7 linked regions of the Sus scrofa genome follow. The protein of the gene in region 7 purifies or fractionates together with the protein of the main gene of each other region. This does not show direct contact. Links are inferred from orthologs where the notes say so. Each region holds a gene or a part of one and is shown on either strand. Other genes may lie near its edges.

The links.
Region 1: the proteins of WDR76 (region 7) and CCT2 purify together in Homo sapiens (affinity purification with mass spectrometry; 4 studies listed by BioGRID and IntAct, with this or other methods). This does not show direct contact. The link is inferred for Sus scrofa from reciprocal best matches to the Homo sapiens genes WDR76 and CCT2.
Region 2: the proteins of WDR76 (region 7) and DNAJA2 purify together in Homo sapiens (affinity purification with mass spectrometry; 3 studies listed by BioGRID and IntAct, with this or other methods). This does not show direct contact. The link is inferred for Sus scrofa from reciprocal best matches to the Homo sapiens genes WDR76 and DNAJA2.
Region 3: the proteins of WDR76 (region 7) and NUMA1 purify together in Homo sapiens (affinity purification with mass spectrometry; 3 studies listed by BioGRID and IntAct, with this or other methods). This does not show direct contact. The link is inferred for Sus scrofa from reciprocal best matches to the Homo sapiens genes WDR76 and NUMA1.
Region 4: the proteins of WDR76 (region 7) and CUL4A purify together in Homo sapiens (affinity purification with western blotting; 3 studies listed by BioGRID). This does not show direct contact. The link is inferred for Sus scrofa from reciprocal best matches to the Homo sapiens genes WDR76 and CUL4A.
Region 5: the proteins of WDR76 (region 7) and HELLS purify together in Homo sapiens (affinity purification with mass spectrometry; 4 studies listed by BioGRID and IntAct, counting the BioPlex papers as one, with this or other methods). This does not show direct contact. The link is inferred for Sus scrofa from reciprocal best matches to the Homo sapiens genes WDR76 and HELLS.
Region 6: the proteins of WDR76 (region 7) and XPC purify together in Homo sapiens (affinity purification with mass spectrometry; 3 studies listed by BioGRID and IntAct, with this or other methods). This does not show direct contact. The link is inferred for Sus scrofa from reciprocal best matches to the Homo sapiens genes WDR76 and XPC.

The regions. Positions count from the first base shown.
Region 1 is NC_010447.5:33,868,514-33,871,304, forward strand, and holds part of CCT2 (T-complex protein 1 subunit beta), read left to right. Parts: intron 1-495; coding exon 496-636; intron 637-951; coding exon 952-1,080; intron 1,081-1,408; coding exon 1,409-1,512; intron 1,513-1,781; coding exon 1,782-1,881; intron 1,882-2,698; coding exon 2,699-2,791. UniProt on the Homo sapiens protein: Component of the chaperonin-containing T-complex (TRiC), a molecular chaperone complex that assists the folding of actin, tubulin and other proteins upon ATP hydrolysis.
Region 2 is NC_010448.4:37,582,743-37,586,811, forward strand, and holds the start of DNAJA2 (dnaJ homolog subfamily A member 2), read left to right. Parts: upstream 1-1,269; 5' UTR 1,270-4,069. UniProt on the Homo sapiens protein: Co-chaperone of Hsc70. Stimulates ATP hydrolysis and the folding of unfolded proteins mediated by HSPA1A/B (in vitro).
Region 3 is NC_010451.4:6,660,167-6,664,338, forward strand, and holds the start of NUMA1 (nuclear mitotic apparatus protein 1), read right to left. Parts: upstream 2,801-4,172; 5' UTR 2,624-2,800; intron 2,601-2,623; exon of another isoform or gene 2,486-2,600; intron 1-2,485. UniProt on the Homo sapiens protein: Microtubule (MT)-binding protein that plays a role in the formation and maintenance of the spindle poles and the alignement and the segregation of chromosomes during mitotic cell division.
Region 4 is NC_010453.5:78,563,530-78,567,029, forward strand, and holds part of CUL4A (cullin-4A), read left to right. Parts: intron 1-2,985; coding exon 2,986-3,089; intron 3,090-3,500. UniProt on the Homo sapiens protein: Core component of multiple cullin-RING-based E3 ubiquitin-protein ligase complexes which mediate the ubiquitination of target proteins. As a scaffold protein may contribute to catalysis through positioning of the substrate and the ubiquitin-conjugating enzyme.
Region 5 is NC_010456.5:105,960,503-105,964,002, forward strand, and holds part of HELLS (lymphoid-specific helicase), read right to left. Parts: intron 874-3,500; coding exon 751-873; intron 1-750. UniProt on the Homo sapiens protein: Plays an essential role in normal development and survival. Involved in regulation of the expansion or survival of lymphoid cells. Required for de novo or maintenance DNA methylation. May control silencing of the imprinted CDKN1C gene through DNA methylation.
Region 6 is NC_010455.5:70,347,595-70,351,640, reverse strand, and holds the start of XPC (DNA repair protein complementing XP-C cells), read right to left. Parts: upstream 2,801-4,046; 5' UTR 2,706-2,800; coding exon 2,603-2,705; intron 2,310-2,602; coding exon 2,166-2,309; intron 1,937-2,165; exon of another isoform or gene 1,839-1,936; intron 1-1,838. Other genes in the region: U6 snRNA-associated Sm-like protein LSm3, read left to right, coding at 3,018-3,038. UniProt on the Homo sapiens protein: Involved in global genome nucleotide excision repair (GG-NER) by acting as damage sensing and DNA-binding factor component of the XPC complex. Has only a low DNA repair activity by itself which is stimulated by RAD23B and RAD23A.
Region 7 is NC_010443.5:127,664,858-127,668,357, reverse strand, and holds part of WDR76 (WD repeat-containing protein 76), read left to right. Parts: intron 1-1,227; coding exon 1,228-1,445; intron 1,446-2,281; coding exon 2,282-2,434; intron 2,435-3,500. UniProt on the Homo sapiens protein: Specifically binds 5-hydroxymethylcytosine (5hmC), suggesting that it acts as a specific reader of 5hmC.

The sequences.
Region 1 (2,791 bases), on a different chromosome or scaffold from region 7:
GCTATGGTGTGGGTCTCAGACAAGGCACAGATCCCATGTTGTTGTGGCTGTCGCGTAGGCTGGTGGCTACAGCTCCGATTAGACCCCTAGCCTGGGAACCTCCATATGCTGCAGGAGCGGCTCAATAAAAGGCAAAAAGACAAAAAAAAAAAAAAAGATGGTATATACATATACTATCAGTGTATACATAGAGGTGTGAAGCTAGACTGCTTGTATTTGAATTTCAGCTTGGTATTTGTCTGAAATACATAACCTCGGAGAGAAACTAAACGTCTTCCAACTTCAATTTTCCCATTTCTAAATGGGATAATAAATTAAACCTATCTTATTAAGGTTGTTGCGGAAGATGAGTCATTTTGTCTAAAGTGCTTCAGAGAGTGCTTGGCATATAGTAAGCAGTCAACTTAAATATTTTGTTTTCTGTTAATTGCTGCTTGTTAGAAAACAGATGTTGAACCTGTTGTGTGTTTAATTAATGTGTATTTATGTACATAGGTGGTGAAATTGCATCTACCTTTGACCACCCAGAGCTAGTGAAGCTTGGAAGTTGCAAACTTATTGAGGAAGTTATGATTGGAGAAGACAAACTCATTCACTTCTCTGGGGTAGCCCTGGTGAGTGATTATGTAGATCCTGGTTTGGGCTCTGCCGAAGTGAAAGTTATTGTAGTTACTAAAATATACAAAACATGGTTTGTGTTAATTTCAGTCTCTTGAGGGCAGCCTCATGGTAACCTTATCTTTGTGAACAGTATATATTCAACATAATTGTTTTAGATAACTTAAAACTTACAGGAATATGGATTGTTAGCAAAGAATACGTAATAGTGGAAGACATGTCAGTTTTAAAAACCAAATAATATAATTAATCTGCATAGTAGAAGGCAAATTTTATGTTTCATAACTAAATGTTCACTGTGACATAAAAAATGTGTTTTTTTTTTAACCTTAGGTGAGGCTTGCACCATTGTTTTACGTGGTGCCACTCAACAAATTTTAGATGAAGCAGAAAGATCTTTGCATGATGCTCTTTGTGTTCTTGCCCAAACTGTGAAAGATTCTAGAACAGTTTATGGAGGAGGTAAGCATTTGAAAAATACTGAGCATATTTTTGACTTCCCTGGTGGCCTGTAGCTTAACTATGTGGTGCTGTCACTGCTACAGCTCTGGTTCATTCCCTGGCCTTTTCACATGCTCCAGGCGTGGTCAACTCAAAAAAAGAAAAATGTTAAGCATATTGTATTTTTTAAAATGTAGTAATGCTTTTGGCTTTAATAGTTCTTATAGAAACTTTACATTGCCTTTGCACTTAATTTTCAAATGGTTAATGTATTTGAAGGGAAGTCAGTAATTTAGTGTTTTCGAGACAACTAAGCAAAATGATGTGTTGTTGGAACTTTAATCCATAGGGTGTTCTGAGATGCTCATGGCTCATGCTGTGACACAGCTTGCCAATAGAACACCAGGCAAAGAAGCTGTTGCAATGGAGTCTTATGCTAAAGCCCTGAGAATGGTAAGTTAATGAAAAAGAGAGACCTGAACTTAAATTTTATAGGTATTGTTGGTTTTTCTATCTTGGACAGAAAATGTTTACTTTCTTGGCTTTAAGGAAAATTGGTTCACACTACTTAAATCTGATTTCGGAGTTTTCTTTATGAGCAATAATTAAAAGGAAGCAGATTTACATTGTTTCTAAATGTGTAATTTTAAAAAGCTTTTCTTCTGGTTTGTAAGTTAATTTTCTTTTAGTGGAGTAGTTACCATGTCTTTTTCACTTCATAGTTGCCAACTATCATAGCTGACAATGCAGGCTATGATAGTGCAGATCTGGTTGCACAGCTCCGAGCTGCCCATAGTGAAGGCAATACAACTGCTGGACTGGGTAAGGAATAATTGGAACCTTGTAATAGTTGTTAATAATAATCTATAAAATATTCTCGTGGCCCTTGCCTTTATAACTGTTAAACATCCTAGGAAAGTTTTTTAACTTTGTAGTTTCAGTACTGCTAAAACTTAATTATTCTTTAAGGGGTATAAAACTAGTTAGGAGATTTGTAAATAGTTTATTATGTAATGACTGTAAGATTTAAATACATAAAAGAGTTTTTATATTCTGAAGTAACTAAACTTAACCATATGTTTTATAATCACTGTTAACTCTTAATCTCACAGTAAACTTATTCTGAGCATTCTTGAGTGATGCATACATGAACATGGCCAAAAAACAGATCTAACTCATTGGAGAGTTTCCCAAAATACTGTCTAGACATTGAAGGAATTCTTAGAGAGTTGATAATCCTGTCACTGGAGAAGATAATCTGCCAGAAGATGAAGGAGGACTCTAACAAGAAGAAAAGTACATGACATAAATTCTTTTCCAGTTCTTAAGAATCCATGGTGTAATCAATGATGAGCAGATTTTCTTCAGTTTTTATTTATAGTTGGATAAATGTGGATAATACAGTGTTGTATATAAATTTTCCATTATTTGATAATAGTTGCCCTCTATTAATACAGATGACATTTTCTAAATCGCTTTCCTTGAGTGGTTGGCTGTTGAGAGTGTTCTCAATAACTAAATTGAATAAATGGTTGTAATTTTATTTTTTATAAGTGAGGATTAATTTTATTATGTCATTTGGTATGTTGATACTTTAGTTGTTAAGACTATAGTTGTTTATTTAGTAAATACTTTTCAGATATGAAGGAAGGTACCATTGGAGATATGGCAGTACTGGGTATAACAGAAAGTTTCCAAGTGAAACGACAAGTTCTTTTAAGTGCAGCTGAAG
Region 2 (4,069 bases), on a different chromosome or scaffold from region 7:
GACCAAAAATAACTAAGTAAATAAAGTAAAAATAAATTTGCAATCTCCTGGGATGGATCATGATGGGGGGAAAAAAAAAGGAATGGGAGTTCCCATTGTGGCTCAGTGGGTTAAGAACCCAACTCATATCCATAAGGATGTGGGTTTGATCCCTGGCCTCACTCAGTGGATTAAGGATCTGGCGTTGCTGGGAGCTGTGGTTTAGGTCACAGACAAGGCTTGGATCTGGCCATTGCTGTAGCTGTGGCGTAGGACAGCAGCTACAACTCCCTAGCCTGGTGACTTCTATATGTCTCAAGTGCGGTCCTAAAAAGACAAGAAAGAAAAGAAAAAAAAAAAGATGTGTGTATATATATACATATATATGTATGACTGAGTCACTTTGCTGTACAGCAGAAATTGGTACAATGCTGTAAATCAACTATTTTAATTAAAACATTTTTAAAAAGAATATCAACCCTCTATGACTGTTTTGCAAATAATTTTCTCAGTTTTTCATTTGTTTTACAATATTTTAATTATGTCTTTGCAGCATAGAAAACTACCCAAATTTAGGTAATCAAAGTTACGAACTTTTTCTCTATTGTATCTCCCTTTAATTTATGCCTAGGAAGGCTTTCATTTCTAGAATCAGTTACGTATAAACCAACATTTTATTTTAGCCCATTTTATTGTTATTTTAAAAGTCAAATCTTTAATCCATATGGAAGGAAAATTCATTGCAAAGAAAATAAAACTATAGTTAGTATAGAAAATATAAACTTGTATTGCTTGACTTGTATAAAGAACAATGGAAGGATAAGTAAGAAATATAGGCAATGGGGGTGAGGTAAGCAGGGTAGAGAGGACAGGGATGGAGGCAAGATTTTGCTTTGCATATTTCGAATTACATAAATGTGTTAAAAAATAAATTTAAAAATCTTAATTTTTTGGGAGTTACCATTGTGGTGCAGTGGAAACTAGTAACCATGAGGTTGTGAGTTGGATTCCTGGCCTTGCTCAGTGGGTTAAGGATCCAGCATTGCTGTGAGCTGTAGTGTAGGTCCCAGACGCGTCTCAGACCCTGCAGTGCTGTGGCTGTGCCGGCAGCTGTGGCTCCAGTGCGACCCCTTGCCTGGGAACCTCCATATGCCTTGAGCGCGGCCCTAAAAAGAAAAGAAAAAAAAAATCTTAATTTCTTTGTAAGCAAGATGTCTACATTTATAAACTCATAGGTCTAGGAAACGTTCAAGTTGAGACAGATAAAACTGAAAAACAGATAATTCTGAAACAATTTAATGAAATTTTGCTAAAGTAGATTAAATCGAGTTTTCTTTTTTTTTTTCTTTTTGCTTTAAGAAAGCGATCAATCCTTCAGGCCCTGAAATTTAGAGAGAAAATGTTAGAACTCATGATTAGGCTAGAATTGGAAAAATATCCAGTATCTTTTAATATAATTAAAATCACGTAATAAATCATTCTTGGGTTTGTGCAGCCAGATCACACAAGATTTGAACTGTTTCAAAGTAATAATGCTGGCTGATGTTAGAAGAAATTTAAATTCCTGTGGACTGGGTTTAAAATTATTAAATCTGAAATTCTTTCTTCGTGCCCTCTGGAATTCACTGCCCATCAAAATTCCTGTAGTCTCAAATCCTCCTGTTAACAGTCTCTTTACTTTCTTATTCAAATGGAAATCTGCAGCCCTCTTAAACTGTGGCTATTTTTCCACCTTTCCACTGGGCCAGGAAGGTGACTTCAACTAGAACCCAGAGTTTGCTACCATAAAGTAACTGTTGCAAACTTTCTTTCCCAATCCCTGAGCCCTAAGTGATTAGGTCCAATTCCTTAGTCTACCTAGATATTGGAATTTCAAATTTAACTCTGCCAAAATAGACACTTATTTTTATTTATTTATTTATTTTTGCTTTTTAGGGTCACATGTGTGGCATATGGAAGTTCCCAGGCTGGGGGTCGAATCAGAGTTGCAGCTGCTGGTCTAGTATCCTCTGGATACTAGTTGGGCTCATTACCACTGAGCCACAACAGGAACTCTCTGAAATAGAGATCTTGATTCACCCTTTTCATCTCTATAAAAACTTCACTATCACTTTAATGCCTCAAATAAAAAAATCTAAAATCATCTTGAGGAGTTCCTGTCACAGCTCAGTGTGAACAAATTTGACTAGTATCCATGAGGACGCAGGTTCAACCCCTGGCCTCAATCAGTGGGTTAAGGATCCGGTGTTGCTGTGAGCTGTGGTGTAGGCTGCAGATGCAGCTTGGAGGCTGTGGTGTAGGCCGGCAGCTATAGCTCCTATTCGACTCCAAGCCCAGGAAACTCCATATTCTGTGGGTGTGGCCCTAAAAAGACAAAAAAAAATAAATATAATAAAATCACCTTGATATTTCTCATCTTTCAAATATCCACATCAAATCCATCAGCAAGTCCTATAGGACCAGGACCCTTAATCAAATGATAGTATCACATTCCCACTGACATCACTGATATCCCACCGTCAAACATTATCAACTCTCCCCTGCACACCCTCAGAGCCCTTGTACCAGTCTCATAATGGTCTCCACTTTTAAATCCAATCCTGGTATGGTCAAAAGATTGTTGTGAAGTTCCTGTTGTGGCTCAGTAGTAACGAACCCAACTAGAATCCATGAGGACACGGGTTTGATCCCTGGCTTCACTCAGTGGGTTAAGGATCCAGTGTTGCTGTGAGCTGCCGTGTAGTTCACAGACACAGCTCAGATCCCAAGTTGCTGTGGCCATGGTGTAGGCCGGCAGCTGCATTTCTGATTTGACACCTAGCCCGGGAACTTCCATATGCTGTACATGCATCCAAAAAGCAAAAAGTAAATAAATCAATTAATTAAATAAAATTAAAAAAAGAAAGATTGTTGGAGTCAGAGTATCGGAGGGAGTGGAAAGATAGGCTGTAATCAGTGAACGAGATTAAGGAGAGTTTACGATGAGAGAGTCATAAAACCATGGGAGTGGGAGTTCCCATGGCTCAGCAGAAAGAAATCGGACTGGTAACCATGAGATTGCAGGTTCACTCAGTGGCCTCACTCAGTGGGTCAAGGATCTGCCGTTGCCGTGAGCTGTGGTGTAGGTTGCAGACACTGCTTGGATCTGAAGTTGCTATGGCTGTTGGGTAGGCCAGTGGCTACAGCTCCGATTCCACCCCCAGCCTAGGAACCTCTATATGCCTTGGGTGTGGCCCGAAAAAGCAAACAATTAAAAATTAAAAAAACTAAAATAAAACCATGGGAGTGAGTAGCTCCATGGCAACAGAGGGCAAGACCACTGAATGTGAGTTCAAGGAAGTGAGAGGCCAGAGTGTTGGATCATCCAGGTATGTATTTCAAGTGAGGAATTAAGATAGTAGTGGAGTTGGAGAGTAAGCCAAGAGTTACAATTTTCAAGAAATTAAGAGGGATTTTAGGGGTCAATAAATTGACAATGCAATGTTGTCAGGAGATGTTGTCAGGTGACTAAAGACTAAAGGCTCTTGTGGTGTAGGTCAAAGACGCGGCTCAGATCGCTCAGATCCTGCGTTGCTGTGGTTCTGGCATAGGCCGCAGGCCGGCGGCTCCAGCTCTGTTTCGACCCCTAGCCTGGGAAACTCCACATGCTGCAGGAGCGGCCCAAGAAAAGGCAAAAAGACAACAACAGCAACAACAACAACAACAACAACAACAACAAAAGACTAAAGGCTCTATGTGTTTAGGAATGTGGGAGGGAGATTCACCCATCTCATCTCCAGGCTTTACTTCTATAACATATACCAAATCCATTTCCTCATCTCCATTTTTACTGCTGCCATCCTAGTCCTTTCTCCCTCTCTCTTTCGTGGATCCCTGCAATTGAGCTTCCTAATTGATGTCCTTGATCCTTGATTACCAACATTTTACAGCATCTTTGATACTACGACTTGTTTTAACCAGATTCAATTCACTGAGAAAGAAGGTGACTGATCCCTGGAAGCTCCCACGTGGCCCAGTGGGCTAAGGCTCTAGCGCTGCCACAACTGTGGTGGAGGTCACAACTGCTGGACAGGTTTGATCCCTGGCCCAG
Region 3 (4,172 bases), on a different chromosome or scaffold from region 7:
GTCTGCAGCTACAGCTGTGGTTCAACCCCTAGCCCAGGAAGTTCCATACACCACAGGTGCAACCATAAAAAGAAAACAAAAAAGTAAAATAAAGTAATAAAATAAAACAAGTGAGAACAAATAACAAGTCCTGGGAGGATGTGAAGCCTTATGTACTGCTGGTGGGAAAGTATACTGGTGGAACCATTATAGAAAACAGCATAGAAATTCCTAAAAAATTAAAAACACAACTACTGGGGTGGGGCTCCAATTCGACCCCTAGCCTGGGAACCTCCCTATGTGTGGGTGCAGCCCTAAAAAAATATATATTAAAAAAAAAAACAACAACAACAACCGAGAAAAAGGCAGGTTACATACAATGATATAATAGTTAAATTTTGAGTACAGTTCTCAAGAGTAACAACAAAATGCCAGAGTTTCAGTAAAATAACATTAGGGTTAGGGTTAGGGTATGGGGTTAGGGTTAGGTTAATAACATTTTCAAAGTGCTAAGAAAAAAAAAGAATTGGAAGCCTAGTACCCAGCTAAACTACCAATCAAGACTGATTAAACCTATTAAAGCTATTAACCCTATTAAAGATATTTCCCACCACAGAGTATTTACCACTAACCGACCCTCACTATGAAAACAGCTGAAGGATGTATTCACCTACCCAACACAAAAAGAGGGAATAAAATGCAAGAAAGAATCGTGGAAACAAACAGTAAACATGAATGGGTAAAATGAAATAATCACTGACAGCACAAAATAATTGTGATTTATCAGAATCGTTCAACACAGACAGAGTACCTTTGGGGTGTTCTCATTCTTAGAAGTGCTGTTTTGAGTCTAGACAATACCTTTTGATATGCTTAGAGTACAGAATAAGAGGCTGAAATAAATGACCCCCAACATACCTACTGACCACAGGGTTTTATTAATTAGACCCAGCTGTCAAACATTCCCTGATCAACTCTACTCAGCCATCTGAGGCAGTGCTTTTCCCATCCTAACATATCTAGATCTTGACCCAAAAAGACAAAAACAAAACAAAAAAATTAATTAAAATAAAAAATAAAAAATTTTTAAAGGACACGCTAAATGGAAATATTCCTTACATGAGCTTTCGGTTAAGGTGTTCTAATTTGAGGAATTATCGTTTCTGGCTTTGAATTAAGATTCAGGCTTTACAATGAGTCATCATTTGCTTGAACTTGGGCCAAGAAAAGAGTACCCTGTAGCTTTTTACAGAGAAGTGTGTGTTTCTTCCTCTGAAGGAGAAAATACCACCCAGGAAGAGACAGGGAGGGAATGCATATACTCTTCCCCGCTGCCTAAAAGTTGCCTTAGCCTGATCTGAACATTCTCTCTAGGCTCTCATCAATTCACAGCAGGAAAGATCTCCACAAGGCAGAGAGCTCCAATTCCCTTCCCATCCAAGGTTTCTGGCCACAACACTTGCCAATCCAGAGCCTTAGAAACGCAGGACCTGGCAACAGACCCCAGAGAAAGGGCAGCGTGGTTTAAAGTAAGTAGTAGTATATTTTCTGGAGGCAGTGCCACTCTGGGCACGAGGCTAACTTAATACAGAGATGCAAAAGCCACTAAATAAAGATGGGAAAGCCAGGTTCCTATCCCCTTTCAGCCCAAAAAAGCTCATTCATTTCAAAGCATATGTTAACTAATGGCCACAATACATTTCACACTCTGCACAGGCATCAGGATACAGGGGCAAAATATTCCGTCTCTATCTAGTAGGGCAGACAAATGCGCAGACACTCCGAACACCAGATGAAAAACGCTACCTTAGGGGTGAGCAAAAGAGGGGGCCCAGAAGGGGCAGCATCCACCCAGAGGAGCTCTCTTGCACCAATAACCTTCACACGGTCACATCACTTATGGTCATGAATGTGTACTCTCCGAGACGCTTCAAAGAAACACTTTACCTAATTTGACCCGCACACCCCCCACCCCCCGTCCAACAACCCCAGGAAAGTAGGTAAGGGCACGTAAACTCGTTGTTTACACCACACGTGAAAAAGTGAGGCTCACAATAAATTGACTCGTCCGAGACAACCCTCACTGCCAATAAAGCACCTCCTTCCCACTCAGGCCCCACCCACAAAGACGCCAGTGGAGCCAACCACGCACTGGTTATACAACCCCGGCCAAGCCGAACATAAACCTCAGAAGGGCCCCGCTGTAGTAAAGTGTGACAAAGCTGCGGGACTGTTTAAAAGAGGATCCACATAACGGGCGTGGCACAGCCTCTGAAACGTCGTCGGTGCTCGGGAACTGTTTACTAGTAGTACTACCGCTATTGTTAGCAGTAACGGGCGAGGACCATTACTACAGGAAGCCGCGGCCACAGGCTTTGAGGAAGCTGCACCACCCGCACCCCGTCGCCCGCAGACTCGATGCCACGGACACGCCCCCGAGCAGGCCCTCCCCCGAAGCACGTCCGCCGCCTCCCCTCGGACAAGGCCCTCTCCTCACAACCCTTACCCGCGACAGACTCTCCCCACTCAGCCTCGGTGAGGAACGAGGCCTTCCGTTCGCACCCGTCTCTCAGCACCCCCTTTAGGCCCCGGCTTCCCTGCGGGCGCCCAGGCCGCACACCAGCAGCGGGCCCGCGCCGCTTACCTGGCCGCGCGCTCCCGCTCCGCCTCTCGCCTACCCGGGATCGCCTTCGCCACGGGCTCGCGCCAGCGAGGCGAGCGCACAATTAGTTTAAACTATGGCCCCGCCCCCTCGCGCCGCCCTGCGATTGGTCCGTGTCGGCTGGCGTCGCACGCCCAGGGCACGCTGGAGGACCCGCGAAAAGGAAGTGGGAAGGGAGAAAGGGTGCCACAACTTCCGGAGCCCGGCCCGCGGCTTGAGGGCAAAAGCAACTACAAGTCCCAGCACCACCCGCGGCCTTGGCGCCCCCACCCGCCACGAACTGCAGCTCGCGGAAGGTATCGCGGTAGCGCCTACCGCGCCAGCCGGGACTTGTAGGCGAAGGTGGTTACCATGGAGTTGCGCCGAGTAACGCTGCGATAGTAGGACGCTGAGGCTGGCGGGGAAGCACTTGCGGGTGAGTTGAGCGGGGAGGGGCACGCAGGAAAAACTAAGAACTTCTCTCCTCGGGGATCTGAGACAACCCCGTCTTAACCCTTTTCACAACGACAAGGCACAAACCCATATGGGATAGACGGGCTCGTGGGGGGGGGGGGGAAGGCGGAGATAAATACCCATACAGATGTGGGGGTGCTTAAGATCGCCATCATCACAGAATAGGACCCCCTAATACTACTGTCTCAAGTCCCTGACACATTCTGGAAGATCTGAAACTTCTTCAGATATAGGGTTGGTTTTCCTCTGATCAACAGAAGACCCTCTGCAAGACATGGGAGTGGGATTAGAGCAAATCAAAAGTCTCTAATTCTGGGGATGTAGGAAAATTTCTGGGGCTTGAACGGCCCCTTTCCTTCCAGGCAGGAAGACCCAGAGTAGAGCCTCCTTTTCAGAGAGTCAGCAGGATCTTCCACACATACTTAGGAGGGGTCCTGTCTTTACCTCTTCTCCCTGCACCTCCTCTGTTGTCCGTCTCCCCAAGGTCTGCAATTAGAGCTTCATTCCTTTTCCAGACTTCATGACAGATCCGTTACATCTAGTAACTTACCTAGTGCTTTCACAGCCTCTTTCTTTTGAACTTTGTGAATCCAAGAATATTTATCCCATATCACAGACTGGAAAACCAACCTAGTGAGAAGTAGTGACAGAGGCCACGCACCAAGTCAGTGACAGCTAGGACTAGATCCCTGTTTGCCAACTTCCAGCTAAGTCTCTAGCTTGAGCTTACAGCCTCTCTAGTTTAAGAATGTGTTCAAAGTAGTAGATTAAACTGTCCCAGGGACAGTTTTTAAATGGGCTGTCGTGGGGGGGAGTGAACAATATCAGATTTGCATTTTGCAGGATTACTCTGGTTGCAGTAGGCAAAATGGCTGGGAGGGAAGGCAGAAAGGAAGTGATGGTAGCTCGGACTAGAGAAAAGACATTTAGGAAGCAAAGCTGACAGGTATTTATTCTGGATGGGAAATGGAAGGGGTATTCAAGGTAACTCTTGGTTTTCTGACCTCCGTAATGGTGGGGAGAGGGGAGAACACCGGAAGAGATCCAGGAGTACCCAGAGAGTATGAGTTCACCTGCA
Region 4 (3,500 bases), on a different chromosome or scaffold from region 7:
AAGTAGCAGTGCTCACCAAGGCTTGGAAGGTTTTCTTTGTTTGGCGGGCGTGTTCGGGAGTATTTGAAGGAGAACTTCCTGTTTGGATGTTTCTCGCTCTCCCCAAAGGGTCTTGCGTCTCCCTGTCCAGGGGGCCCAGCCTGTCTGCCCAGCCTGCCTGCTCTGTTTCATACTTCGATTTTGTTTGGTAAAAAGGGGTCTTCAGAGTACGGAGATGAGAAGCTCTGGAATGCAAGAAGGGGGATATTGTGAATGCATAGACCTTTGCTGTTTTTAAAAACCTGAGTTTTGACCTGAAATCTCAACTGGCTCAAGAAAGCGTTATCTCTTGGTGTCTTAGATCTGTATGTCTTAGTCCTGCTTGTCTGCTTAATGGGACAACAGAAGCTGACATTCTGGAGAAGGGCTTTGGGGAAGGCTGTCTTGGTGTCACGCTAGTTGTCACGCAGAGGTGCAGGCGCTCCTGGAGAACCTGCGCTCGAGAAGAGCCGAGCTGCTCCTCTCAAGGCTGGGAGGACCTGTCCCCGTGATACCCTCCCACTGCGAGGGGCTGTCAAGGGAGGATGGGTGAAAGTGGTCAGCACATGGGGAAAAGCCCAGAAAATGGGAGACAGGGAGACACCGAGGGGCCAGTTTGAGAAAGTAAATTAATTTAGAGCGAATTCAATCCCGAAGTGATGGAAAGAGACCACTCAGCCTCATGTGCATCAGGCCCAGTAGAAAGGGTCGCGTCCTTCCGTGGCTCTGGGCACTCGGTGAGCTTCGTCCTCTGAACCTGGGCGTCATGCCCGGCCTCGGGCCCCGGGGCTGGGGGCTGGGGACTGTGTCGTCCTCAGAGTCTTCCTGGGGAACCTCCCCTCATGCTGGTCCCGCGCTCAGACCTGAGTCATTTATTTTTCACGTTGCTCTTTCCTCGTTTCTGGGGGGTGGGAACCTGGGGGGCAGGTGGAGTCCCCATGTGACGAGCAAGTCGCATTTGGAGCAGTCATGGGGACCTTGGCGGCCAAGGTCCCCAGCTCTGCGGGAGATGCAGGGCGTGTCCGCAGGCTGTGGTTTCCCGGGGCCGTTGGTTTCGTTTTCCCTCTTGTTCGCGATGTAACTCGGAGCCTTGCCTGCCTTGCCCTTGAGGCCTCGGCCCCCAGGTGCCCCCTCCCCCCAGCTGCCACCCTGTGGTGGCCTTGCAGGCGTCCCTGCTGAGCCCTGAAAGGTCCTCTCGGGACCTTTACCACTTGTCTGGCTGATGGAGATAAGAGCGCAGGAGGGCGTGGTGGCCTGAGGACGCTGATGGAGGGCAGGGGCCACGGTGCAGGAGGGCAGCTCCACCCTTCTAAAGCCCCGGACCCAGGCGCCTCCGTTCCTGTCCCTTTGCTGCGAGGACCAGCCGGGAGGAGGCATTTCCGAGTGTCCCCGTGGGCCTCCTGACCCCACGGTGGAGGAGCCTCCTGTGCTGCTCCCCCGGCGGCACAGACCGTCCTGCAGCTCCCTGGCCCTGCGGGGAGGAGCGGGCTGGCCTGTCCTCTGAGGTGACAGGGTGCCTGTAACATGAAGACACCAACAGTGACTCAGCAAAAGGCCTGGAGAAAGGACGTGGCCACGGTGAACCCGGGTGCTCCAGGGCTTGGCCAGTGGTTTCACAGGCTCCTCAAATTCTCAATTAAAAAATAAATCCCAGTGGGCTTCGTGTGAATAGTAAGCGTGTGCCAAATCGGACACACAAATTCAGCACAAAGCCACGAGTCGGAAAGAGTGTTTTGAATACACCAACACCCAGTTCCAGACCTGAGCTCCGAAAATGGTTCTCAGACGTCCTCCAAGGAGCCCGAACTGCCGGCCTAGCTTGATTCTTACCAAAGAAAACCCCTGTCTTCATGCAGTGTTTTCACAACTGATTCTGTAACAAGCACGCCTATAACGACTGACCGCTGGAGCAGAGCCTTTGTTAAGAGGTTATCTTGGGTTTTTTTAAGGAAGACGACGACAGTGTGTCTTTGACTGAATTATAAGAACATGGAGAGATGGAGAAAGGAGGCAGGGATGTGGAAACAGCCGCGGGCGGGCTCCCTGGAGAGGGAGACGGCACGAGGGAAGGTGGGCTTCGGACTCCCTGCGTTGGCGCGGGCGCGCTTGCGACCTTATGCCACTGCACGTGGCCTGGGCAGTCGGGGTTGCTGTGTCTCTCTGCAGTAATCATTTTCTTAGTATCTACAAAAATCGAGGTCGCCCTGTTTTCCCCTTAGACATGCAGTATTTGAGATTCAAAGTTTCTCCATTCTGTATATTCCCCATACTTTTTAAAAATAGTTCAAAAACACACAGCAGAAAAACTGCATTTCTCTTTTTAGTATTTCACATTTGGATTGAATGAGAGGCTGGTTTTGTTCATGACTTTTGGGAAAAGAGCTAGTAAGACTATACAAGCGTAATTTCTTTGACGTGGATACAGATTTTTCTGCCTCAAAACTGTGTTTCTTTGTTAATTTAAGGCAAACTTCAGTGACTCCCACATCCGGCCTGTGGCACCCGGCTTTGGGGCTTTTTCAAAACCTCAGCTCATTTTGGGCAGAGTCGTCAAACTCATGGGAGTAAAAGGAGCTGGGTTTCTGTTGCTGTTGTTCTGACACTGGAAGGTGTCGCCGAGGGTCCCCCGCCCCGAGGACACGTGGTCGTCCCCAGGGTGGACCACACACTGCGGTGCCTGGGGACTGGTGTGCAGCCAGGGGCGAGGGCGCACAGGAGGGCCTGGGCCAGCCCGGGCCGTGCCCTCTGCGCCCTGTTCACGGCCCTGCGAACTGTTCTTACCCACCTCTTAGTGGGTTCCAGGGTCCCAGCAGCCACTGCCCTGAACGTACCCCCGTGTCTATCGGTAGGTTACGTGAGTGTGGGGCTGCCTTTCTGTCATGATGACAGCTCTTTTTACAAGTAAATTTTTGTGAAGAACTAATTTTTCATTCATGGAGAATAATTCACTTACTCCTTTGTTTTCAGGCTGTTGAAAACCTTTGTTCTCACAAAGTCGCCCCAACACTCTACCAGCAGCTGCGTGAGGCCTGTGAAAGCCACGTGCAGGCCCAGATTCTTCAGTTCAGAGAATATCCTTTTCTGGCTTAGGAAGTGCCTGTTCGTTACCTAGATCTTGTGACACTGAGCACGATAGGGTGAAGAGCCAAGGAGTATCCTTGATGCTGAACAGAAGCTTTTAAGATCCCCTTTCTCTGGGGAGCCAAACGCCTAGATGTATGTCGTCCGGTGGAATTTCACCACTTGAGTGACTTTGCTGATGGCATTAAAGTGAGAGTGCCCGTTCCCGAGTCTGGTTAGGAGTAGTAAGGAAAGGCTCTGTAAAAGGCCTTGAAGTTGGAGCTCTGCTGCTGTTTGTTCTTGTTTTTCTCATTTTCTGCGACATGCAACCAGTCCCCACAAACCTGGCAGCTCCCAGTCTGCGGGCCAGAGGCGAGGCTGGCTCAGTGGTCCTCTCTCCTCGCTGGCGGGACCCAGGCCTG
Region 5 (3,500 bases), on a different chromosome or scaffold from region 7:
AATTAAAGCACTTTTTAAAAAAAGGGATTGGGCAGCATAAAATTCAATTTTTAGCGTCTAAATACATTACTGCATAGGATAAAAACCATCGACAGGTGAATAGAAAAATAAACATTGGTATATTCATATAATGGAATGCTTCTTCAGAATAAAAATGATCTACTAAATAAACACACATAGGTGAATCTCAAAAATACACTGAGACACAGAGTACTTATCATATGAATCCATTTATATAATATTCTATAAAAAGCAATATTAATTTAATAACAGGAACAGAAATCAGTGGTTGTCCAGGGCCAGAAGCAGAGATCATTTAGACAAGAGAACTTTTTAGAGTGATGGAAATGTTCCTTATCTTGATTGTGCTCATTCAACTTGAGAATTAAATGTACGTGTTTTATTGTATGTAATTTATATCTCAATAAATCCGTTCTTTAAAAAAAACTTATGAAGTTCCCATCGTGGCTCAGTGGTTAATGAATCTGACTAGAAACCATGAGGTTGTGGGTTCAATCCCTGGCCTCGCTCAGTGGGTTAAGGATCTGGCGTTGCCATGAGCTGTGGTGTAGGTTGCAGACGAGGCTCGGATTCCGAGTTGCTGTGGCTCTGGCATAGGATGGCGCCTACAGCTCCAATTCGACCCCTAGCCTGGGAACCTCCATATGCCACAGGAGCGGCCCAAGAAAATGGCAAAGACAAAAAAATTAAAAAACATGCTATTAAGTATAATCAATCACATATACATACCTCTAATTGCTGCTGTTCCATTTTAGTCAATAAAAATTTGGAGTAAATATTGCTTTTTTCAAGCAAATGTTGAAGTCTACGATATCTAATATCCACAGACTCTCTATCCCAAGACATTCGAGCCTATCCAAAGAGAAAGTTTCCATAATTATTAAGTTTTCTGACATACATTAATTTTTCTGCATAACATGTAACAAAGCTGGCTAAATAAATGAATAAATGCTCTGTAGGTTTAATATATTTCCTGTAATGAAAAATACTATTATAACTTTAAATTCGTTTACTAAAAATGAAACAAACAAAATGCTAGAATAGTTATAAATCATGATTCTGGGATTCAATAAACTATCTGGTGAGACATAGCTTGGATAACAAAATATTGAAATTTCATACACTGATTATATTGTTACTGGCATTGACAGAGTTGAAAGTCCACTTTGAAATATTTGACATTAAACTTAGAAAGTAAATATTTAATTGCAGTAGAATTTAAGCTTTTAAACAATCAAATGGTTTCAGAAAAGAAAATTTTCATACATCAGTTTTATCTGAAAGAAACTGGAATTAAAAGATAATCTCACTAGCTAGAGCCTAGAACATGTTTTTAGAATTTAAAAACTACAGTGTCAAAATTTTTCAACATGCTAAATCTATTAATTTCTTATAAGCTTTCCTCCTGAGTATTATGTTGCCCAAGCTTTGCCTTTACCTTTTAGCTTTAACTTTCATATTCTTAGCTTTATCTTTCACTTTCTGTACACCTTCCATTTAGAAACCTCTGCTTTCCATATTATTTTTACACACCATTTATTTATTGGTTTGTTAGAGTATACAACAGTCTAGTGGCTGAGGAGGTACCCTCTCTCAATTCACAATAAAAGTTAAAACATTCTAAAAGAACAGCAGAGGGCACAAGAGAGAAAACAAAAAAATGAATAGTTTATAAAGATCCACAAACTTTTTTTGTAAAGGGGCAAAGAACCAATATTTAAATATTTGAAAATATGGTTTATACTGCAAAGACTCAAATCTGCCTTCCTACATAAGAGCAGTTATAGACAATATGTAAATAAAACTTTATTTACATAAACAGGCAAGCCAAATCCAGTTCATAATTTGCCAACCCAATGCTATAACCTGAACTCAAAAGAAAAGCATTAAGTGAGGTGAACAAGCCAAGTGAGAGGTAAATCTATACAAATCTTACCAACCAGCGTTTCCACTTTTTCGGGTTGGGAGGAAGAAGAGTGTGTAAGTGTGTTAATTAGTGGTTAATAAGGCCTGACCTTCCAAATCAGATACCATTGTATATTGGCTCATATTTCACAGACAGTTATCTCTTTTCTATCAAAATAAATTCATTTCCTAGTATAAAAGCAGTGAGAACAAGATACCTAAGAATAAATCTAATGAAAGTAATACATGCAAATTACAGGAAAATTACAACTCTTTCAAAAATCACCCATAATCTTATCCATGGAAATAATATGTTAATGACTCATAAAACTATTTCAGTTCTTTCAGGACAGCTTTTCTTTTGCTATTACCAATATACTACTATGATTACAGTAAGGAGTCACTGAATGAAATGAGTACTACAAATGGGGAGATGAAACTACTTAAGACTTTATTATTTTGTTTTGGTTTTCTTTTCAAATTCAATTTTTCAAATTAAAGTATAGGTAACTTACTAAAGACTTTATAAATATGAATTCTTAAATTTAACTTTAAATTTAATATTTTAGTTAAAATACACTGTGCTTAATTTAGATCTATCTGCTGCCTTAAATCCTGCTCAGATTAAATTAATTAAAGCTTTAAAGTATCATAATGGGGAGTTTCCATTGTGGCTCAGCAGTAACAAACCCAACTAGTATCCATGAAAAAGTGGGTTTGATTCCTGGCCTTGCTCAGTGGGTTAAGGAGCCGGCACTGCCCTGAGCTGTGGTGTAAGTCGAAGATGCAGCTGGGATCTGGTGTTGCTGTGGTGTAGCCAGCAGCTGTAGCTGCAGCTCCAATTCGACCCCTAGCCTGGGCACTTCCACATGCCACAAGTGCGGCCCTAAAAAAAAAAAGTAAAGTGCCACCATGGAACAATTACTTATTGCCTTTTTTTAAGGCCATACCCTCAGCACATGGAAGTTCCCAGGCTACCATAGCCATAGCAACATAGGATCAGAGCTGTGTCTTCGACCTACACCACAGCTCAAGGCAACGACAGATCCTTAACCCACTGAGCAGGCCAGGGATCGAACCCTCATCCTCACAGATAGTTGGATTCATTTCCACTGGGCCACAACGGAAACTCCCGGAACAATAATTTATAATGTAATTAGAAAATTATGCCAATGATTAACCTTTAAAAACCCAGTCTTCAGTATTTCAAAATAATTTTGTAGTAAATATTTCATCTTATCATTACCCTTTCTTGACTTAATTTTATTATTTGTTATATTAACATAAACTGTAGCTTCATCTGTGAAAAGTACTGATTGCCTGGGCAGGAAGCTTCTCTTGATGAGGATGAGTATGTCAATGGTCACCAAGAGCATAAATTCTCCACTGCCCATCCTATTACCTCTACCCACCCCAGATTCCCCCTACTCCCCAGGGAGTTATAGTTTGGTCTACACGCACGTGAACTATTTTTTTCTTCTACTTTTCTAAGAAACTCACAAATCTTACCTTTCCCCTTCCCCCACTACAAAGACCTTAATGCTACTCCCAAGTCTTTCAGACCTAACAATGAC
Region 6 (4,046 bases), on a different chromosome or scaffold from region 7:
AAACCAAAACAAAATAAAAAAAAAACCCACACTATGGTGCTGTCAGAAACTACACTAACGAGGGAGTTCCCGTCGTGGCGCAGTGGTTAACGAATCCGACTAGGAACCATGAGGTTGCGGGTTCGGTCCCTGCACCTTGCTCAGTGGGTTAACGATCCGGCATTGCTGTGAGCTGTGGTGTAGGTTGCAGACGCGGCTCAGTCCCCACGTTGCTGTGGCTCTAGCGTAGGCCGGTGGCTATGGCTCCGATTCGACCCCTAGCCTGGGAACCTCCATATGCCGCAAGGGCGGCCCAAGAAATAGCAAAAAGACAAAAAAAAAAAAAAAAAAAAAAAAACCAAAGAAACTACACTGACGAGTCACCAAATCAGTGTCAGCTGCATCCAAAACCACAACCAAACTGCTCCTCTACACAAACACAGCAAAGATGCTAACTCTTCCCAGAAGCTGCCTCAGAAACTTATGCTAGCTGCACTGGCTCATAATTTTCGTGAGGCTTAAGTAATCCCCTACCTATGTTCAGGCTGAGTTGATATGAGCTGGCCCATCTGATTACCTCACACAGACCATGCCAGGAGATTCACATGCTCTCAGGAAAAACTCACCACCACCCCACAAGTCAAACATGAGGTTCAGAGAGATGAAATTAATTTGCCCAAGCTAATTTATGCAAGCCCATATAACTATTAAGCACTGGCACTATGCCAAGCTGGTGACAAGGTGAAGTGTTTAGATGGGGGAATGCTACTCAGGCAGGTGGCATTTCCAAACCTCTTCAATTAGAAAAAATTTTTGAAATTGCCATGTATTCCAAATACATTCCCTGATTAGAATGACAAGCTCCTTTACCAGCTGTTTACTAAAGTAGTACCTATCCCTAAAGCTGCAGGTTAAACATTCATTTCCCAGCTCTCCTAATTACTCCTTCACCAGCCACAAAGCCTCCTACCATCTTCCATGATACCACTGTCCTGGATAAATTTTTTTGTAAATGTCAACACTACCATACCCTAAGCTCCTCCAAGAAAGCTCTAAGTCCCATGTCTCCCAGTTTGTGTGCAGCACACGTTAGGTACTGACACATTAGGAATGTTTATTTTATGACTAAGTGAATAAAACGGAACTCACAGTATTAATTGTGAGATGAATCACTTTTTAAGTTTATAAATGGTTACTGTTTTACTATTTCCTAATGGACGATGGCCTTATAATATGTACAGAATCACAGAATTATTGAATCTAGTGTCACAGGAGACCTTGCTGGTGACTTAGTTTAACTGTCTACCCAGTTATATCAGGAACCCCAGAAATCCCTTCTACAGCATACATGTATTATGCAATGACAAACTATTTATCAAGCATTTGGTATATGCAGGGAAGGGGAAAAGAACAAGATAAGAAAATTAAGATGTTTTTATAACTTTCAATTCTGGTAAGAGAGAGCAAACAGGAAGCAAATAAATTAACAAGGTCATTACAGATGTGACAGAAGCTGTGATAAGGTGCACCTGAAAAGACCATCTTAGGACATTCAAGGAATACCTGGATTGAGACCAGGAGGAAGAGAAGTCAGCTACAGCAAAGCCATGGAAAAATATTCTAGGCAGAGGCTCAGGTGAGGAATCACATGGTGTGTGTGAGGAGGCCAAGAAGGAAGGTACCTGGCAAAGAAGACTAGGAAGAGACAACAGGAGAGGCAGCAGCAGCCAGATCATACAGGGTCTTGTAGGCCAAGGTGAGGAATCTGGAGGCTGTTATGCCAATGGGAAGACACAGAGAGTCTGAAGTGGGAGCATGGCAAAATCAGATTTTTTTTTTTTAAGGTACTTTGCGCTGCAGCACAGAAAACTCCTCCAGGGGGATGAAAAGAAGTAGGGAGACCCGTAGAGAGGCAACTGCAGTCGTTCAACTGAAAAGTGATGGTGGTTTCGACAGGGTATGTGGCCATGGAAACAGAGAAGTGGAGAGATTTGAGATATGGTTTTGAGGTTAAACTGATAGGATTTGCTTTCTGAAGGACTGGATGTGTGTTGGAGGGAAAAGGAGTTTGTTTTAACAAGTGATGAAGGGGTCAAAGACTGATATGGGGTAAAAGTAAGAAAGGGATAGGTTTAAAGGGGAAATCAAGTGTTTTGCTTTGCGCATGACAAATATAAGCAGCCTACTCGATATGCACGTTGTCAGGTGGGATCCAAATCTGGGACTCTCCACACACCACAGCACTCTAAGTCTTGGTCCCTTCGTCTCGTGGCGACACAACATAATAGCAGTACCTTTCACATATTCAGCCCCCTGCTTCCGCCTGCATCCTGGGGGCGAAAAGGAGCAGAAAGAGGCTACGCAGAGGAACTCGCGGTCGGCTGGGCTCTAGCGGAACGTCTCAGGGCGCATCACCTCTGGCCAGGAGAGCAAAGGCGCAGGGCCGCCGGGGAGCACCTGGGCACGTGCACACCCCCAGCCTCCCTAGGCCTCCGGAACACCGCCCCCAGCGCAGGTGGGAGGGAGGATGCCTCGCTCACACCTCCAGGAAGCCGGCCTCCTGCTACCCCCACCCAAACCTCTTCCACCCTCCCTACCAACCCCAACTCAGCCTGGCTCATACCCGCCTCCTTCTCCTCGCGCCGGGCTTTGCCCTCGCCCTTGGCCTTCTGGCCGCGCAGTTTGCGCCCCCGCGGCGCCCTGCCCGCCGAGCGCTTTGGAGCCATCTCTGCCCGGGCAAGACTCGCCTAGAGCGTGACGCACCGCGTCTCCGCGGGACGCAGCTCGCGCGCGGCCCCGCCCCCAGGCGGTGCAGGGCCTGGTCACGCCCCCTCCGGTAGATTCCCGCCTGCGCCCAGGCTGAAGCTCCGCCCCAGCCTCAAAGGGACCAATGCAAGCTGCAGGAAGCAAGAAGCTGTAAAACCAACCTCTTTCTACTTCCAGTGCATAGAGTCCTCACGTTTCCGGAGACTGGGGTGGGCATAGGGAGCAGCTCTCGTGCCCTCGCGAGAGGACGGAAAGGGCGCAGGGTTTGAAACATGGCGGACGACGTGGACCAGGTGAGTATCTTCTGAAGAGTTCGCTCTGGGGCGGCTTCTCCCTGTCCAGGCCAGGGTGTGCCCAGCTTTGTTTACCAGGGTTGTTTTCCCCAAGCTCAGGGTTGCTTTTCCCAAACTCACGAGAAAGTGGCCTGTCACGCCGCCTCTTTCTGGGTCATCACGGCCTTAACCTGCCTCTTGGTTAACCGCGCCCCCTCCGAATTTTGCCTCAGGCCCTGAGACCTTTGTTGTTCAAAACCCTCCTGAAAATTAGTTATTCCTCACTCTTCTCACTTCCTTTCTCTTGAGTCTCACGTTGATTTGTAGAATGAGAACCATTATCCTTGCCTGCCTCACGGAGCTCTCGGGATTCTGATAGAAAGGCTAATAAAACATTTAGTGGGTTATTGTCATTACTGAGCGCAACAATGATTACAGGGTCTACAAACACTAGTGAGTATCACCTTTGTATAGTTAGAAACCTTTCTAAATACCAGGGACATCGGCATTGACTTGGGAGATACCTGCCCAACTTGGGGCTTATATTCGAGGGAGCACAGATAACAAGTAAACATAAATATGCGAAACATATGGAAACTGTGATGTGGTAGGCAGGAGACAGGGAGCTGGTATTTAGAATAACTGATGGTCCTTCAGGCTTTCTCACCTGCTGTCCCGTCTTCTCCAAATGCTCTTCTTCAGATGTTTTTGTGGATTAGGCCGCAGCTTCAGCTGTTTACTGAAATCTCACCTCATATCAAAGAATAGGTCTCTGGCCACCTGCATAAAATGCACTCTCCCAGTCTGCCTTATTTTTCCTCATAGCATGTTCTTTGTTCATATTGAGTATATGGTTCCTTGTTTAATGTCTGTCTCCCCCAGCTAGAATGTGAGTCCCTTGAGAGCAAGAGTCTTGTTTTGTTCACTATTCTGGGTTTAGAACAGTGCTGGAAACACTCAACAAATATTCATTGAGTGAATTAATTGGATGGTCTGGGAGGCCTTTTGAAAAGGCAGTACTTAAAGCTA
Region 7 (3,500 bases):
TCAGTTTTTAATTTTTTATTACTTATATGTGTGGGCACTGAGTGCAAAGTGATAATATTGTGGATTTTGATTAAAAATTATAACAATACATGCTCATGATGAAATATTTACAATAAATAAGGTGTTCAAAGTAAATCTGCCCTTTCTCCATTCCTACTCTCCAGAAGTAACCTTTATTTCTCAGTGTGCTTCCAGAAAGTACACACATATTTAAAAATATATAGACACAGATTTTTTTCTTTGTATTAATGGGTTCACACTATATACATACTTTATTTGCAACTTACTTTTTTCATTTATTAGTATATCTTGGGCAGTTAGTAGTACAAATCTGCCTTACTCTTTTTAGCATTTCATGGTATTTCAAAGTAAAGTAAAGATGTGCTGGAGTTCCTGTTGTGGCGCAACAGAAATGAATCCAACTAATATCCGTGAGGATGAGGGTTTGATTCCCGGCCTTGCTCAGTGGGTTGGGGATCTGGTGTTGCTGTGAGCTGTGGTGTAGTTTGCAGAATGTGGCTGTGGTGTAGACTGGCAGCTGTAGCTCCTATTTGACCCCTAGCCTGGGAACTTCCATATGCTGCAGGTGAAGCCCTAAAAAGAAAAGAACACAAAACAAAACAAAGATGTACCATCATGATTTAACCAGGTCTTTTTTGGTGGACATTTAGGTTGCTTTTTATTGCTGTTATAATCAGTCTTGCAGTAAGCATTCTTATATATATCTTCGTGAAATTATTGGATCTAAGGGTATATATAAGTATTAAGTGTTTTGGTAGATGTATCCTGATTGCTATAAAAATGTTCTATTTATACTTCCACTAAGAGTAGGTGAGCATTCAAGCCATATACCTTGGATTTAGATGGCAAAGTAACTTGGTATGTTAAGGTATTTCAGTTGGATAGACTTCAGATTCAGTCCATTTCCTGCTAAGTTTCACAGGGTAGATCTGTAATTGAGGTTGATTGGATTTAAGAGATTTGGAATATAGCCCCTGCATGGGTGGATGGGACTTCTGATTGATTGTAGGTGAGTCTCACAGCTGATCAGTGCCTTAGTTTCCATCTCTGTAAAAGGGGATGATCATTTTGCCCTATGCTTCATGTGGGGATGGATGGGAGAATGAAGAAAGATATTTGGGTTTTGTTACTCTTTTAACAAAAAATTTACGCATTGGCTTTCTCTAAAAGAAGAGTGTTAAAGTTGATTGTTATTTATATCCTTAGGTGTATAGAGGTGAAGGAAGTAGCTTTTCCTCTTTTGACTTCTTGGCAGAAGATGCCTCTACTTTAATAGTAGGTCACTGGGATGGAAGTATGTCTCTAGTGGATAGACGGACGCCTGGAACTTCTTATGAGAAACTTATCAATTCTTCTTTGAGCAAAATAAGAACTGTTCATGTCCACCCAGTGCATAGACAGTATTTTATCACTGCGGGATTAAGGTACGTTCCTCGTAACATTTTATGATTTAGGCCTTTTAAGGATTTAACATTTTTAATGTTAGAAGTAATGTTTTAGCTTGGTTGTCAAACTGACTTTTTTTTGGTGACACAGACCAAATAATTTTCCTTTCTACACTGACTGAGGAGGTTTTTTGTTTGTTTGTTTGTTTGTTTTAGTGCGTGTTTTTTTTTTATGAGCGATTCTTTTGGACTTAATAAATAATGAAAGTATTGAAACAAATATACATTTTTGTTTTCCTTGACTTCATTTATTTACTTCTAGTCTTTTGAGAAGAAAATTTGTAAAAGAAATAAAAGTTTTATGTGACCTATAATTTCTTAGTCTGTTTTAAGTCTTTTCTTGGAGAAATTAGAAAGCCAGCTAGAATCATACCTCTCTACACCCACATGGTTACATATATATGCTATAATTTTGGAACATTTATAGTTTTTAAAAGTCTGGAGTTCCTGCTGTGGCACAGTGGGTTAAGAATCTGGCTACAGTGGCTTGGGTCACTGCTGAGGTGTGGGTTTGATCCCCAGCCCAGTGCACTGAGTTAAAGGATCTGGCATTGCTGCAGCTACAGCATAGGTCACAGTTGTGGCTTGGATTCAATCCCTGGCCTGAGAATTTTCATATGCTGTGGGTGCAGTCATAAAATAAAATTAAAAAAAATCTATACTATTGTTTTAAAAATTAATACAGAAGATTAACATGTTCGATCTTAATTGTTCTTCAGTGTAGTAAGGATTTGAGTGTCTAATTTATGTTAAGCACTATTGTTCATTCTGTGTACTGTGGCAACACTGAGAATTATTCCTCCCATTCATTACAGGGATATTCATATTTATGATGCAAGGCGCCTGAATCCCAGTAGAAGCCAGCCTTTGATCTCTTTGACTGAACACACAAAAAGCATTGCTTCTGCCTATTTTTCACCTCTTACTGGTAACAGAGTAGTAACCACATGTGCGGATTGTAAGCTAAGGTAAATTGGGAAGACAAAAATAGGTTGTTAAAGAATTTAGAGTGTTTGTTACTTTGGTAGCCAGTAGCTTTGTTTATTATTGCTCCTTATTAAATCACTAGCATTGTTGTTTTGTAGCTGTATCTTGGCTCCCAAAGATCAATGCCTTGTATTCAATGGCTTTTCAGCAATTTGGGGATCTGTAAATTTCCTTGAGATTGGTAAGGGTGGTCTGTAGCTACCCCAGGGAGTTGATGTCAGGCTTTCCTTTTAGCACTGAAATTCCAATGAAAGAAGTCTTGTGATATGTTGGAAGTGAGATAATTTTAGCCTAAGGAGAAGCTCTTATAATGGGGATAGTGGGATCTACCTTGCAAGTGAAGTGCTGAGTTGAAGTTGCAGAGCCATGGGTAGCCAGTAAAGATAGCAAAATTTGGGTTTCTACACAAACTACTGGGTAAAATTTTATGGTTTTAGCCTTGGTACCTTTCTGTAGCTACTTCCTAAAAATGGATTTTAAAATGTAATGTAAACCAATTGAACAAAAATAGAAATAATGCCAAGTAAAAAAGATGTGGAGAATGTTAACGCAATAACAAAGGAAATGATTTTGTTCTCTTCTAAAATCCCTGACTTTGCTTAACATTGCAAGCATTTCTCAGTTCATGACTTTTTCCTTAAGTGATTTTGGAACTCATTCATTGTTCATTCAACAAGTGTCTGTGAATGTATACTGTGGGCCAGGCTCTAGAAAGGCACCTAATTTCTATTTAGTCTCATTTATTGGAAGGAACACGGTCTATATGTATGATAGGTGCCCAGTTAATTTCTAGTAATATCTGTGAGCATTACCAAGTAGTACATTAAGAGATTTAGTCACCAGATGTTGGCACCTCAGTGTCCCCTTTCCACCCATGAAATTTTGTCTTAAGAGCTTCTTATTTTTCCCATTCTTGTTCATTTGCACTGCAGGGTTAACTCTTATTACATTAGCTGTTAATGATTTGGCTTTCTAGTAATCTGATTAATTAATAAGCTCTAGTACCAAGAAATTGCAAAGGAATAGCTAGGCACAAGGAGAAGGGGA